Struthio camelus: one gene and its partner. The protein of the gene in region 2 interacts with the protein of the main gene of each other region in a pairwise test. Links are inferred from orthologs where the notes say so. Each region holds a gene or a part of one and is shown on either strand. Other genes may lie near its edges.

Evidence for each region.
Region 1: the proteins of ZNRD2 (region 2) and CCT7 interact in binary tests that used the Homo sapiens proteins (3 or more experiments, as listed by UniProt). The two-hybrid records come from large-scale screens. The link is inferred for Struthio camelus from reciprocal best matches to the Homo sapiens genes ZNRD2 and CCT7.

Annotation. Positions count from the first base shown.
Region 1 is NC_090945.1:85,476,977-85,484,983, reverse strand, and holds the start of CCT7 (T-complex protein 1 subunit eta), read left to right. Parts: upstream 1-4,995; 5' UTR 4,996-5,113; coding exon 5,114-5,119; intron 5,120-6,933; coding exon 6,934-7,087; intron 7,088-8,007. Other genes in the region: PRADC1 (protease-associated domain-containing protein 1), read right to left, coding at 490-610, 1,196-1,363, 1,768-1,877, 2,497-2,597, 4,706-4,760. UniProt on the Homo sapiens protein: Component of the chaperonin-containing T-complex (TRiC), a molecular chaperone complex that assists the folding of actin, tubulin and other proteins upon ATP hydrolysis.
Region 2 is NC_090976.1:385,629-392,762, forward strand, and holds the start of ZNRD2 (protein ZNRD2), read right to left. Parts: upstream 3,011-7,134; 5' UTR 2,944-3,010; coding exon 2,928-2,943; intron 2,228-2,927; coding exon 2,076-2,227; intron 1,575-2,075; coding exon 1,490-1,574; intron 187-1,489; coding exon 1-186. Other genes in the region: RNA-binding protein 4B, read right to left, coding at 5,432-6,123. UniProt on the Homo sapiens protein: Might play a role in mitosis. Antigenic molecule. Could be a centromere-associated protein. May induce anti-centromere antibodies.

The DNA of each region.
Region 1 (8,007 bases), on a different chromosome or scaffold from region 2:
AGAAATTCCCTTTTCTCTAAAACCTCTTTAGACTTTGTTAGCTCAGACAAAAATATACAGACGCTGGGCAAGCCCTGCTAGTACAGACTGACCCCATAACTAGCTCTCCCTCCCATCCCCGTTAGACTGTGTCCACATAATACTGCATCGCTCTAAATTGACAGCACAAACTACTGCTGGCATCGTATGCATCACAAAAATGTTTCTCGGGGAAGTGCTGGCCTGATTCTCTGCTCTGGGCCATCACCTCCCTCCCAGAAAGTCACTACAAAGGTTGTTCGATGCCACCGTCCAGGTCCCGCTGCGGGCGCTGACATTTGCCATTTGGCCAGACACCAGCGGCAGCGTGAAGATCTGCCCGCTGCTGGATCCGGCGAGGCTGGCGGCAGGATTTTTGGGAGCGCATGGGGCTCTTTCCTCAAAACCGGTCCCTGGGGCGAGCTCCTGGGATCCACCGAGAAGTCCGCGATGCTCCGTGGCCTCCCGCTGCTACCAGAAGGTCCAGGGGGGCTGCATCATTTCATACGTCGGGATGCTGGTGACGTTGACGGGGATGGAGATGACAGCCCATGGGAGCCCATGCTGTTCCAGGGAGCGCCGGATCATGTACCTGGAAGGACAGAGAGGTGACAGGCGCATGTGAGCCCCTGAGCTGGGAGAGCAGAGCCTGAACGTTATGGGTTAACGCAAGCTGCCAATAAACTCGAGGAGAAACTCCGTGGATTAAGCATGACTGAATCCATGGAAAATCTGGCTCACAAAGCCCAGACAGGACACACGGCTCACTGGGACCCCTCTGGTTCATGGGGACAAGGCTGTCACTTGGCCCTTCCCACGAGATGCTCTACACTTGGGAAGATCAGAGCATTGGGTGACCAGAACTGGATCTCAAAAGGCAAGGCTGTCTCTTGGAAAGGCTGATGTACACCAGGAAAACGCTGCACAGCGTCCGGGGTGGCACGGAGACCTGCCGGTCGCAGGTAGGCCATCCAAACCAGATCTGCTCTCAGAACCAGCCTCATGCCAGCCCAGATGCCTCCAGCCTCCTAAGAGAGCTGTGGCACGCACGGAGCTAACGCAGCTACCTGGACACCGCAGCAGGTTCGCGGCCGGCCGGCTAAAACCCGCTGAACCCACGTGCGCCTACCTCCGCAGCGCCGTGCCCGAAGACACGTCCCTCGGCCACGATACCCACCCGTCCCTGCCCAGCAGGAAGAGCGCGGGGATGTCCGCTGTGCGCCTGGTGCTGTCCTGGATCATTTCGATATAGAAGCTGTCGTTATCGTAGGCGTTATCGGCGATAATCACCGCCCGTCCTCCGTGCTCCTGGATCACGCGCGTCTTCGACAGGAACGAGCAGCCCCTGGGGCACAGAGCCACAAACGTTGTCTACAGACGTGGGAGCCGGGCACCTCTCAGACAGCAAGTGCCGGAGCTTGCCCGGAGACGCCCAAGACGCGGGCTGGCTCCCCGGCACCGCGCGTCCCCCAAGCCCTTTTCATCCTTGAGACCGGATTTTAGCAACAGGACTGCCCAAACTGTGCTGGTGGGCTGCTTTCTCCCCCAAAATAAGGCTTTTTCCAGCTTGGCGTAGGCTCTTTTCCAAAAGACTGTCGGGACAGCTTTGCAACCCGGGGAAGCAGCTGGAGGCGACGGTAAAACGTGGCTGCTAACACAACCGTGGCACCGTCACCCTCCGTGCCGCAGGCAGCCCCCTCCTGCCCTGGGTGCCCCCCACCCAAAGAGGTCCCGCGGCGCCGGACCTACCCCCGCTCCACCAAGGCGATCTGGTCTTGGATGAAGACCCCATTATTCAGCTCCCCACAGGCTTCGGGCGGATCCGCCGGGACCAGGTGGATCTGGTCGTACCTTGTGTTCTCCGAGGAAGAGACAGGCAGGGGTGAGCGAGGAGGCCGGCGGCACGGCGCCGGGGCTGCTTCCCATCGCGAGCCCCGCGGCGCCTGTCCTCGGGGCCCCCGGGGAGCTGCTGTTCCCGTCCCCGCGCGGGATGTGCCGTGGGACCCCGCAGAGCCACCCGAGGGGAACCCGCAGACCTCGCTCAATAGCTCGCCCCCATCACCGTGGGGAGGGGAAACTGCGGCACGGCACCATCCGGTGAGTTGTGCGAGGCAGGGAACGGCGATAGAGGCTCTCGATGCCCAGCCCCGGGCTTTGCCCCGGATTGGGGCAGCCCCTTGGCAGGAGACGGGGAGCCCTTAGGGCTCCGGGAGCGCACGCGTGTGCGGACACGCATCCGTACGTACGAACGCTCCCAGGGAACGCGTGCGGAGGCAGAAACGCGTTCGCATGGCCCAGATCGAACGGGAGCACCTCTAACGGCAGAGACGGGCGCGTGCCTCCTGCCTAGGGCAAAGCTCTCGGAGGAAGCCCGTGCAATCAGCTCCACTTCGGTAAAGGGCTTCACATCAGCCAGCCCCGCAGCGCAGAAATGTAGGGACGGGGGGGCTCCGAGACAAATCCGGTCCTTATACTTACAAACACTCCCCCAAAATCCTTGGCCGGAGTGGCAGTGAAGATGTAGCGGATGTCTCCGGGACTCAGCACTTGGAAATACAAGTATTCATGGATGCGTAAACCTGCGCGTGCACGGAGAGAGATGAGAGGCAAAGAAACGGCAACGGCAAACTCCTCCCGTGAGATTTCAAGCCGAACGCGCAGTCACAGCCTTGAGATGTGGTTCATCCCGGGGACCCTCTTTTTTTAACCCATTTTCACACCGGTTTGCAGGCCCGGAGATGCAGCGCCGGGGAAGGACCCTTGGCACCAGGGCTGCAGCTGCTGCACAACCAGCGCTTGCGAACTGCAGAAGGCCCTGAGTGCCGCGGGGAACCGAAATTGTTTCGGGAGTTCCCGGCACGCTTTCATCCAGGCACCCGGCTCAACGCCCACTGCTGCGGGTCGAGCGCGACACGAGACCTCCCTCTGCAGCCTTGCGTAACGCCGGCTGCGTGCCGGGCTCCACGGCGGGAGGAGGACCCGAACCACTGCTGTCGGAGCTGGGTGCGTCGTGCCGGGGCCTTTTCCCATCTTAAACCACTGCTTGGTCCCGACACCCAGCGCCCTGGGCCTCTCTCACGTGGGGTTTCCCCCTTCTGTAAACCGCCGGCAATTCAGACAGCTCCCTGCCTCAATTTCCCTCTATAAGGAAAGAAGATTTTATGTGATAAAAAAATGCAAAGCCTCGCCGCGCAGGCGGATAGCTCGGCCGATGGCCCACGACCTCCTGCGCTGTTTGGGCAGCCGATGCACAAGAAATGAGACATTCGGGCAGGATGCAAAGTCGGGGCCAGGCAGCGAATGCTTTAGGGCCAGCAGCCCCTCGGGGCCGTGCGAACACCTGCAAAGGGCGCTGGGGCGTTGCTGGCGGAGGGCAGAGCGAGGGGACTCTGCTGCCTCCCCGCAGCCTCTTACCCCGGAGCCAGCTGCCTTCCTGCCTCCAGCGGCTCTGTCCTGAGCATGCAAGGAAAAGCATCCGGGTTGGGGTGCCCCAAGGGAAAATATACCGGATCGAGGTGCTGGGAGGAGAAACGGAGTGCACAGAGGAGACGGGGGAAATGCATGCAGACTGGGGTGCACAAAAAGGGGAAATGAACCCGGATCTCCTAGGGGACAGGAGTGAAGTGCATTTGATCACGGCGCTGGGTAGGTGAAATGCACCCGGACCCAAGTGCCTCAAGGGCAAATGCACCCAGTGTGGGATGTCCCAAGGATAAATGCACCTGGATCGGGGTGCACGGAGGGGAAAGGGAGAAAATGCACTCGGATCATGGAGGGGCTAGGGGTGAAATGCACCTGGACTGGGGAGAACAGAGGGGAAATGCACCCGGATCGAGGTGTCAGGAGGAGAAATGCACCTGAACCTGGGTGCATGGAGGGGAAATGCACCCAGACTGGGATGCATGGAATGGAAATGCATCCAAATTAGGATGCCTCAAGGGAAGATGGACCTGGATCGAGTTGTCAGGAGGGGAAAATGCATCCGGACTTGGATGCATGGAGGGGAAATGCCCCCGGAAGGAGGTGCCAGGAGGAGAAATGCACGGAGACAGGGACGCACAGTGGGGAAATGCATCCAGTTCAGGATGCCCAAGGGGAAATGCACCCGGATCGAAGTGCATCAAGAAGAAATGCACCCGGATCGAAGTGCATCAAGAGGAAATGCACCCGGATCGAGATGCATGGAGGGGAAATGCACCTAGATTGGGGTGTTCCAGGGGGAAATGCACCCAGATCGAAGGTGCTGGGAAGGGAAATGCACCCAGACCGGGATGCACGGAGGGAAAATGCACCCAGATTGGGATGCACAAGGGGAAAGGCACCCAGACCGGGATGCACGGAGAGGAAATGCACCCAGATTGGGATGCACAAGGGGAAAGGCACCCAGACCGGGATGCACGGAGGGGAAATGCACCCAGATTGGGATGCACAAGGGGAAATGCACCCAGACCGGGATGCACGGAGAGGAAATGCACCCAGATTGGGATGCACAAGGGGAAATGCACCCAGACCGGGATGCACGGAGAGGAAATGCACCCAGATTGGGATGCACAAGGGGAAAGGCACCCAGACCGGGATGCACGGAGGGGAAAGGCACCCGGATAAGGGTGCCCGAGAGGGAAATGCACCCGGGCGCAGGGCAGGCGGACGGGCGGCGCGGGGGGAAGCGACCGCGGGCCGGACTCACCGCGGGCCGGGCAGGAGCAGAGGCAGAGGCAGAGCCAGAGCGAGCGGCGGAGCATGGCTGCGCCCCGCGCCGCGCCGCGCCGCTCCCCCGCCCCCGCCTCCGCGCCGCGCCCATTGGCGGCGCCCCCCCGCGCCGCGCGCGCCCATTGGCCAACGCCGCCGTCAATCCCGCCCCTGCCATCTAGTGAGCTGCGGGCCGCCGCGCCGCCGCACGTTGCTGCCTCTCTATGGTTTCTCGCGAAGGAAGGGAGCCTCGCTCGGGCGGCTCTGTCTACGGCCTCACCATGGAGTGCGGCCGGAAGCGGTTACCTAGCAACGCTCTCTTCCCCTCCCGCCCTCGGGAAGCTTCTGGGCGGGCGCGGGGCATTGTGGGAGCAGGGCCTGGCTGCGCCGGGGGAGAGCCGCCGAGATGATGGTGAGTGGCGCCCGCCTCATCCGCCGCCATCCTCTGCCTGGCAGCGGCCTCCTCCGCCCCCGGGGGCCGTTGCTGGCGGGGGTTAGTAACGGGGCCGGCGCGGGTTCAGCCCCCGGTGAGGGCGGCCCCGCCGCTGTCTTGTGAGGGGACCAGCCGGGCCCGTGAGTGGCCCGCGGTTGCCGCCGGGCTGCCGCGGGACTACCGCTCCCATCAGGCTTTGCGCGGCGAGCGCCGCGGCTGAAAGGGAGCGGGGCGCGCGGGGCAGGCCGGGAGCTGTAGTCTGTCGGCGCGTGTACAAGGGTGGTGTCCCGGCCCTGGGGCCCGGAGCCGAGCCCACCGGGCTGGGGTCGGGGCTCAGAGCGGCCCATGCTGGGAGTTGTAGGCCGGAGCGGGCGGTACGTGGCGCCCCGGGGCCTCAAGTCGGGGCCTGAGCTCGGCAGCCCGCTTCGGGGCGTGGAGGGACCCGGTGCTGCCCCGGTCCGTGCTGAGTCCTGCCTGTGCCCTGCCGGTGCTGCTCCACGAGGGTTGCGTGTCTGCCTCTAACCTGATTTTCCCTAGGATGCAATCGACTCTGTTCCCTTTAGATTTCTGTTCGGGAGCTTGCCAAGGCTTAGGTAGCTCTGGCTGCGGTGCTCGCGCCCGTCTTCCGCTCGCCCGTCAGGCCCTCGGCTCCGGTCTTGTTGCTCTTTAGCACAACGGTCATCGTACGGTTTTGCTCTCTGCTGCAGATGGCTCTTTAAAACTGAGCGCCGAAGAAGCTTCTGGTTCGTGTGGATTTTGAGCTTTGTCTTTAAGGCACGTTTAGTCCGTTTCCTAGAAATCCTGAAAAGGGCTGCTGCGCTCTTGGAGCACAGCAAAGAGCTGTTTGCCGTGGCCTTTGAAATCTTGTAGGCTTTGCTTGTATTTCTAAGCTGTGTCCAGTTCAGTTTACTGTCAGGCAGGTGCAGTCACTTGTGTTCATCCCCCCTGTTTCCTCTGCGAGCAGGGAGGTGCGTTGCAGCAGTTGCCATCCTTGGGGTAGCTTGGACTGTGATCTGAGAGCTCTTGCGCCTGTTGTGCTGTACATCTTAGGAGACTTAAGTAACTCATCTGGGTTGTAGCTTGTGCAGTTCCCTGCTGCCTCAGTAATTATTACACATACTGTCTCTTATGGTGTAGAGATCAAGCGTAGCACAGAAATTAGACCTTCTCTGAGCTATATGATGGGGAAAGAAGCCCGCTTGTTTTGTGGACAGTTACAATACAGTCCAAGGGCATACAAACAGAAGCAGTTGGGTAGATTCCAGTTACTTTATAGAAGCAAGTGACACCTTGCCTTGGAGCGGTTTGACTGCATCCGTAATGCTTTCTAGGTAAAGTTGAACCTTCAGCCTTTCATGGAAAAGTGCTCTAGTACATTTCTTTGAAGCTACAGGAGTTCAGTCAAGATAAAACTTCAAACAAACACGGAATGCTTGAGAACGTGGAAGTAAACTTTTAGAGGAATTGCTTTGTGTAACAGTGGCAGTTTGTGGCCTTCTCTCTCTCAGGTTTTTTTGTAGTCACAGTCTTACTTTGAAGCTCTAGGCGGGTCAATAAGCTCAGTAAAGCAAGATGCTTAGGGATTGGGATTTTTTTTGTTTTATTTTTGCCACCAGGCCTTTGAGGGAACTGCAGTTTTTGGTCTTGGGAGTGAGAGAGCTGTTGTGCAGCTAGTTTCTTGCATAGGGGAAAAATACCTTTTTGAGCAGCGATAACTTGCTGGGCTGCCTGCAGAGTTAGCACTGGGCTGTCTGAGATTGGAGTTACAGCTCTGCTGTGGTTTGTCTCTTCAGCCAACACCCGTTATCCTGCTGAAGGAGGGCACGGACACCTCACAGGGGATCCCCCAGCTCGTCAGTAACATCAATGCCTGCCAGGTTATCGCAGAAGCTGTGCGCACTACCCTAGGACCCAGGGGCATGGACAAGCTCATTGTGGATGACAGAGGTAAGCGCTGGGTGACAGCTTTTCACGGCTATGTAGAAACGTGACTCGGAAATAATCTCCAAGTGTAACGCACACTGCTGGCACGTGTTTTTTTGCAGCCAGGGGCTAGAGCATGCAGAATGCAAACAAACGGACTTGGATGTTGTACTGTTCATGGGAATTCTGCAGTGAAATTTGATTCATACCTTCATATTAATTAAAACAGTATTTGCATATATACAGACTTCAGCTTCGTTGCCGCTTGCTATTCTCAACTCTCATAATACAGAGGTTCAGTTTCTGCATCAATGTTCAGTTTGAAACCTAGATCCCAGCCGCAGCTGGTGAAGAAAAATAATTGACAGATTTACTTGAGGAAACTACCTGGTAGTTACCTACTAGACTGAGTTAAGGTAGCTGAATTCTTTCTTGTGGTACTAGATAGATCTAGGGTTAGCATGACTAGACGGGCAGAAGTCCATGCCAGAAAGGAGGAATGGTGTGTTTTGAAGCTAGTCTTTGGGTACCCCTGACCCTCTCTTTCTAGGTTTGTTTTAAGATGAGGCTCGTGACACATGTAGAGTTACTCAGCTCTTGGTATGACTGAGTGTGGGGTGGATGGGGGTTACTAGGGTTGATGTTTGGGTGAATTGGGGATGGCTCCCAGCCCCCTCTGAGAAGAATTGTGTTAAGTTGCCACGCTAATCTATTCCTTGCACTTTTTTTTATTCTTGTGTGAATTGTCCTTGTATTACAGGTCCTATCTGTAAAAGCAGTTATTTGTTTTAAAAAGGATCACTGAAGTTTTATTTTAGCTTAATAACTAATTCTGTTGATTTCTAGCACTTTTCAGTCATGTGTCAGACTAGAATATCTGAGAGAGATGTGTATATATATACATATAATTTTTAATCTGCATGGGGAGGCTATTGAGAAATGAG
Region 2 (7,134 bases):
CCCCCGCCGCCTCGGCCCCCGGCGCCGCCGCCACCTCGGCCCCCGGCGCCGCCGCCGCCTCGGGGGGGGCCGCCCCCTCGCAGCGCTCGGGCCGCCGCGCCGCCGGCCCCGCCGCCGGGGGTCCCGGGGCCGCCCCGGCCCGCCGGTGCTCGCGGGCCTGCGAGAGGGCGGCCTGGGCGTTGAGCGCTGCGGGGTGCCGGCGTCAGCGGGGCCGGATCCCCCTCAACCCCTCCGCATCCCCCCCAAGGCCTCCAGATTCCCCTCCAACCCCTCCGGATCCCCTCCAACCCCTCCGGATCCCCCTCAACCCCTCCAGATCCCCCCCAAGCCCTCCGGATCCCCCTCAACCCCTCTGGATTCCCCCTCAACCCCTCCGGATTCCCCTCCAACCCCTCCGGATTCCCCCCAACCCCTCCGGATTCCCCTCCAACCCCTCCGGATCCCCCCCAACCCCTCCGGATCCCCCCCCAACCCCTCCGGATCCCCCTCAACCCCTCCAGATCCCCCCCAAGCCCTCCGGATTCCCCTCCAACCCCTCCGGATCCCCCCCAAGCCCTCCGGATTCCTCTCCAACCCCTCCGGATTCCCCCCAACCCCTCCGGATCCCCCCCAAGCCCTCCAGATTCCCCTCCAACCCCTCCGGATCCCCCCCAACCCCTCCGGATTCCTCTCCAACCCCTCCGGATTCCCCCCAACCCCTCCGGATCCCCCCCAAGCCCTCCAGATTCCCCTCCAACCCCTCCGGATCCCCCCCAAGGCCTCTGGATTCCTCTCCAACCCCTCCGGATTCCCCTCAACCCCTCCGGATTCCCCCCCAACCCCTCCGGATCCCCCCCAAGCCCTCCGGATTCCTCTCCAACCCCTCCGGATTCCCCCCAAGCCCTCTGGATTCCCCCCCAACCCCTCCGGATTCCCCTCAACCCCTCCGGATCCCCCCCAAGCCCTCTGGATCCCCTCCAACCCCTCCAGATTCCCCCCAAGCCCTCCGGATCCCCCCCAACCCCTCTGGATTCCCCCGGCCCCGTTCCCACATCCCAGTCGCCAATTCCCGTCCCCAAGTGCAGCCCTGGCCCCAAGTCCTGCCCCCCTTCCCCATCCCCAGACCTCCGGCCCCTTCCCCAGTTCTTGTCCCCAACCCCAAATCCAGTCCCCAGCCCCCCCCAGCCCTAAGCCCCCATCCCCTCTCCCCAATTCCTCTCCCCAGTTCCCATCTCCAGCCCCTAGCCCTAAACCTCCATCCCCTTTCCCCAATTCCTCTCCCCTCTCCCCAATTCCCATCTCCTCTCCCCAATTCCCGTCCCCAGCCCCCACCTCCAGACTCCCGTCCCGGTTCCCATCCCTGGATCCCCGTCCCCAATTCCTATCCCCAGTCCCCAACCCCAGTCCTAGACCCCCAGCCCCCACTTCCTGCCCCCCTCCCCGGTCCCAGACCCCTGTCCCCAGTCCCCAATTCCCGTCCCCAGCCCCGGACCCCCGTCCCCGTCCGTACCGGGGTCGTCCTTGTCCACGTCGGAGTCCAGCTCCTGGCAGGCCACGCAGTAGAGCTGCTGCTGCTTGTTCTGCAGCAGGATGGTCTGGGGGGGGGGGGTGAGTGCATGCGGGCCCCCCGGTGCCCCCCCAGCCCCCCTGGTGTCCCCCCCGGACCCCTCGGTGCTCCCCGTACCCCGCAGTCCGGGCAGCACTGCCCCAGCATGCGGTACCCCCAAGGCAGGACGGGCCGGGGGGCAGCAGGGAGCGTGTGTGACCCCCCCGGTGCCCCCCCGGACCCCTCAGTGCCCCCCCCGGACCCCCCGGTGCCCCCCCCAGACCCCACAGTCCGGGCAGCACTGCCCCAGCATGCAGTACCCCCACAGCAGGATGGGCCGGGGGGCAGCGAGGAGTGTGTGTGACCCCCCCCGGTGCCCCCCCCGGCCCCCCCCGTACCCCGCAGTCCGGGCAGCACTGCCCCAGCATGCAGTACCCCCACAGCAGGACGGGCCGGGGGGCAGCGGGGAGTGTGTGTGACCCCCCTGGTGCCCCCCCGGACCCCTCAGTGCCCCCCCACACCCCCGGTGCCCCCCCCGGCCCCCCCGTACCCCGCAGTCCGGGCAGCACTGCCCCAGCATGCGGTACCCCCGCAGCAGGTACTCCCCCATGGCGTGGCTGATGCGCTCCTGCCGCTCCCGCCGCGCCGCCAGCACCTTCCGCTCGGCCTCCGGCGGCGGCTCCCACTCGGGCTCCGACGCCCCTGTGGGGACACGGCCACGGGGGGGGGAACGCTGTCACGGGGGACGCGGTTGCGGGTGGGGGGGCTGGACGCGGGGGCGCAGTCACAGGTGGGACACAGTCATGGGGGGCACGGGGACACCATGGGGGGGAGCACAGTCACCGGGGGACACTGGGAGGCGATCACGAGTGGGACGCGGCCACGGGGGGGTGAAGAGGGACCGTTGGGGGGGACACGACCACTGGGGGTCTGGTCACGAGGGATGCAATCACGGGTGGTGGTGAGGACGCAGGGGGCCGTGGGGACACGGTCAAAGGCAGGGCGCGGTCACGGGGGGCACGGGGACACCGTCGGGGGGAACACGGTCACCGGGGCACACAGGGACGCGGTCACGCGTGGGACGTGGCCATGGGGGCAGGCGGCCACGGGTGGGGGCGAGGAGGGACCGTTGCGGGGGGGGACACGGCCACGAGGGGGGTCTGGTCACGGGGGATGCGGTCGCGGGGGGATGGGGACGCTTTAATGGCGCGGACGGTCACGCGGGGGGGGCGCCACGGTCACGGCGGGGGCGCCGAGGCGCTGGGAGACCCCCGTCCCGGCAGGGGCTGGCTGTGAGGGGGCCCCACGGGCCCCGGGGGGAGGGACACGGGCACCCGCGGGGGCTCCACGGCCGCTCTAGGGGCCCGGGGGGGGGGGGGGGGCCCGCCGCCGCCGCCCGCACCCGCGTTCAGCGCCATGTTCCGCTCCCCGCCGGAAGTGACGTCACCGCACGGGTCCGGCCGGGAAAGCGGCCCCGGCGGGCAGGTCCGGTCGTGAAATGGTTCCCCCCGGCCCCGGGGGACCGAGACGTCCGGTCCGTTCCCCCCCCCCCCCCCGCAAGAGGAGAAGTAACCGGTGCTGCTGGGAGCTAAGACCCCCCCCAAACCCCCTCTCAGGGGACACAGGCATCCAGGAGAGCCCCCCCACTAGCCCTCCCAGGGGACCAAGGCAGCTAGGAGAGCCCCCCCCCCAAATACCCCAGCATCCAGCCCCCCCCTCACTACCCCTCTCAGGGGACCTAGGCAGTTAGGAGCCCCCCCCCCAAATACCCCAGCATCCAGCCCCCCCCTCACTACCCCTCTCAGGGGACCTAGGCAGCTAGGAGCCCCCCCCCCAAATACCCCAGCATCCAGGCCCCCCCCCACTACCCCTCTCAGGGGACCTAGGCAGCTAGGAGCCCCCCTCTCCCCCCCAAAAAACCCCAGCATCCAGGCCCCCCCTCACTACCCCTCTCAGGGGACCTAGGCAGCTAGGAGCCCCCTCTCCCCAAATACTCCAGCAGCCAGGACCCTCCCCCTTCACCTAACAGCCCCTCCCAGGGGACTGAGGCATCTAGGAGAGCCCCCCCCAAGACCCACCGATCCCCTCCCCTTATTGCCCCCCCAGCACCCAGGCACAGAGGGGTTCCCCCCCCCCAAACACCCCCTCCCCACCAAGCAAGAGGGGACCAAGCGCGTCCGTGGGAAACGTTTTATTTTTGCTGGAAAAGCCGAAGGGGTGGGGGGGGGAAGCTGGGGGGGGGGGGGAGGCTGTAAAGGACACAGCATCTACGGGGGGGGGTTGGATGGGGGGGGGCAGCGGCGGCAGACAGCCCCGCGGGGGCGAGTTACCTGGAAGACAGCGAGCCCGCGGCGGGGCCGGCGGGGCGCCGGGGTGGGAGTTAAATTAGGGGCTGGGGGAAGAGATTTGGGGGGGGGGGGTGCCGCAGCGGGACCGAGACGCGGGAACCTCCGTAAAAAACAAACAACAAAAAAAAAAGCACAGGGCGGCGGCGCCCCGGAGCCCGCGGCGGGTGGGCGGGCGGGCGGGCGAGCGGGTGCGGGGGGGTCCGGCCGAACGCTTCCGCCCCGGCGCACGCGACCTGGAAGAAAGCACAGCAGAGGGTCAGGGGCTGGCGGGAGGAGGTGGGGGGAGGAGGAGGAGGAGGAGGAGGAGGAAGGGGGCGGGGGGCCACAGCCCCCCAGCCGGGCGCCGCTCTCCGCCCTGGTTCCTGCGGGGCGGCAGCGGCGGCTCGACCCCGAGCCGTACGGGCGCGTTGGGGGGGGGGGGGCTTTCAGCCCCCAACCGCCGGGGTTGGGGGGGGGGGGCCATGCCGCAGGGGCTGGCGTTGGCCGCCGGCTTCGCGCCCGCCTTTTTCCCCCCCCGCTCCCCGCTGGGCCGGAGGGGGCCGCGCGCCGCGGTCGAGCGCGAGGTTTTGGGGTTTTGGGGGGGGGGGGGGGCGAGGGAGAGGAGCTGTTTCTGTGCGAGGCGAGACCCGCGGCGGCGGCGGCGGCCCGGGGCACGTCTAACCTGACGCTGCACCGTCCGCTGCGGCTACGGACCAGAACGAGAGCTCCGCCAAGCCTCCGAGGGCCGTTGGGTGCCGCTCTCCAATGCCGCGGCAAAAGTCTCTGCCATTCCTAGCGTACGGGGAAAGCCCAGAGCCGCTTCCTCGGGGAGGGATTTTCCTGCCAAGCTTCTTCCTCTTTGGGGTCACATCCTGGGAGATTAAGGCCTATTACAACCGGGCTACGGGGCCGAGCGTGGGGCCGGGGCAGGCAGCGCGGCTGTTCCAGCACGGAGGAAGAGACCGGCAGCGGGTGTAAGGCTCCAGCGAGGGCTGCTGCGTTGCAGCGGCAGAGCCGGGGGGCTCGGGGTCGGGGGGAGGAGGAAGAGGAGGAGGACGTGCCCTCTGCGGCCGAGTTGCCCAGCCGGCGTGCCGGGGAGGCAGATGGGAGCGCGGCGGCCCGTTTCGGGGCGGGGAGTCGGGCTACGGCGCCGCAGCGGCCTCGGGAGAGGGCGGCGTCGCAAAGAGGAGCCGGGACGGGCCCCGCAGCGGCCGCAGGAAGGCGCCCCGGCCGCGCCGCCCCGCGCGGAGGCTGCTCCGGCCCCGCCGCGCCGCCTCGGTTTCTAGCTGAGCTGCGGAGCTGGGGCGGGAGGGCAGGGAGCGACCGCCGGGCTCGAGAAACCCCCCATCCCCAGCGCCCGGCCGGGGCTCGGCCCCGCGCGGCGGCGAACGCCGCGGAGAATGGGCCGGGAGTCGCCAGGCTCCTGCCGCCGCCGCCGCCGCTCGCTTTGGGAGCTGGGTGAGCGGCGGCCCCTCGCGCGCTCGCACGCGCGACCCCCGAGCTGGCGCCGGGGCGGCCCCGACCGCCCGCAGCGCGCGCCCGCGCGCCTCCTGCAACCCACAACGCTCTCACCTCCGACTCAAAACGCAGAGTACCGCGCCCTGTCCGCGTACGGGTCCCGCTCGAACCGCTGCATGTCGTAGAGGGAGGCCCGAGCGACCGACGAGACCGGCGACAGCTGACTACGATCGTAAGTGTACGCCTCTCCGACGGTGGTGGCCGCGGCTGCCGTGCGGCGCAGGGGGCTTCTATCCCGGGTGTAATAGGTGGAGGAGGCGGCCGCCGCGGCCGCGGTGGCGGCGGCGGCCACGGCGGCTGCCGCTCCCGGGGTCGGCAGCAGAGCTCTATCGTACGCGTCTAGGGTGGTGGGGATGCGACTGGCCATGGCTGTGGTGGCGGCCATGGCCGTGGACTGCACTTGGGAGTACTGCGCGTACTGCGAGTACTGGGCCATGGTCTGCTCTGCATAGGCGTCGTATGCAGAGGCCGTCGCATAGGACCTCACGCGGTAGCGCTTGTAGTAGTCGACCATTCCGCCATACCCGTCATCGTAATACATGGTCTCCCCATAGCCCGCGGGGTAGGGAGTGCGCACCGCTCCGTACTGCTCATTATAGGCCTCGGTAAAGTCAGCCACTTGCCCCGGGCGATCTACCGGACACTCTTTAGACCAGTGCCCTTCCTTCCCGCACCGGTAGCAGCCGCTCTTGTCTCCCATCCCGGGCGCGGTCCTGAGCCGACTCGTGGACAACTGCACGCGCATCCGCTTGCCTTTAAGAAACAGACGCAAGAAGGGTTGCTATAATTAACTGAGGCCACATAGGGAAACCAAGAGATTCACAGAAGAGCAAGAACCCAGCGAGACGTCTGAACCTACTGCCCCGGGTGAGGGGAGCCCGACCGGCGGCCGCCCCGCGCCGCTCCTCCGTGCGGCGCCGCCAGGGCCCGGGCAATCCCGGACCCGGCTCGCCGCCGCGCGCCTGCTCCGAATCCGGGCCCAAACCTGCGCCGGCGGTTACCGCTCTCCCGGCGGAGCCGGGCGGCCCCGGACCGCCCGCGAGGGACGGAGGCTCTGGATACCGCCCGCCTCTGCGCCCGTGGACGCAGCCGCGTGGCGCCGGGCAGCGCGCTCGGACACCCCGCGCCGCTCGCGACCCGCAAGGGGACGTGGAGCCAGAGGGAACCGGACCCGGAGGCGGCATGAAGCCGGGCTCGGCCCCTGGAGACGGGCTGGCCTGGGAAACAGCGTCGGAAAAAGGCTCTTGGGAAGGGAGCGAATAAACTCAACCCGTTCCACATCCCGCGGGGGGGCTGTGGGACTGACTGGGCTCATCTGCCTCGCTCGGACGCTGAGAGCAGCTTCCCGGGGCTTCCCACGCCTGACCTCGATGGGGAGAGCCCATCCCCGGCCTCCCGGCGGATGGCCACGAGCCGGGGAAGCGGAAGGCTTTAGAGGGAAGAGCTGCCAGCTGCGCCGTTGCGCAGCAGCCTCTCAGCTCCCCGGGGAGCGCAGCCACCTCCCACCACAGCCCCGGATCGCAGTGCCGGGTCGGGGCCACGCAGATAGGCAGCCGGGCTCCGCGGGCGGTGAGGGGGGGAGGAAGAGGGAGAGCAGGCTGCGAGGAAGGCCCCGGAGCAGAGCCGGAGCTGCGGGCGCCTAGGAATGGCCGGGGGAGCCCTGGCAAGAGGCCATTTACGGCAGCTCTGCCCCAGGAGGAAAACAAGGTGAGGAACTGCGCGGACCCAACTTCTCTCGGGGCTCTGCTTCGCTCGCGCGAGTTC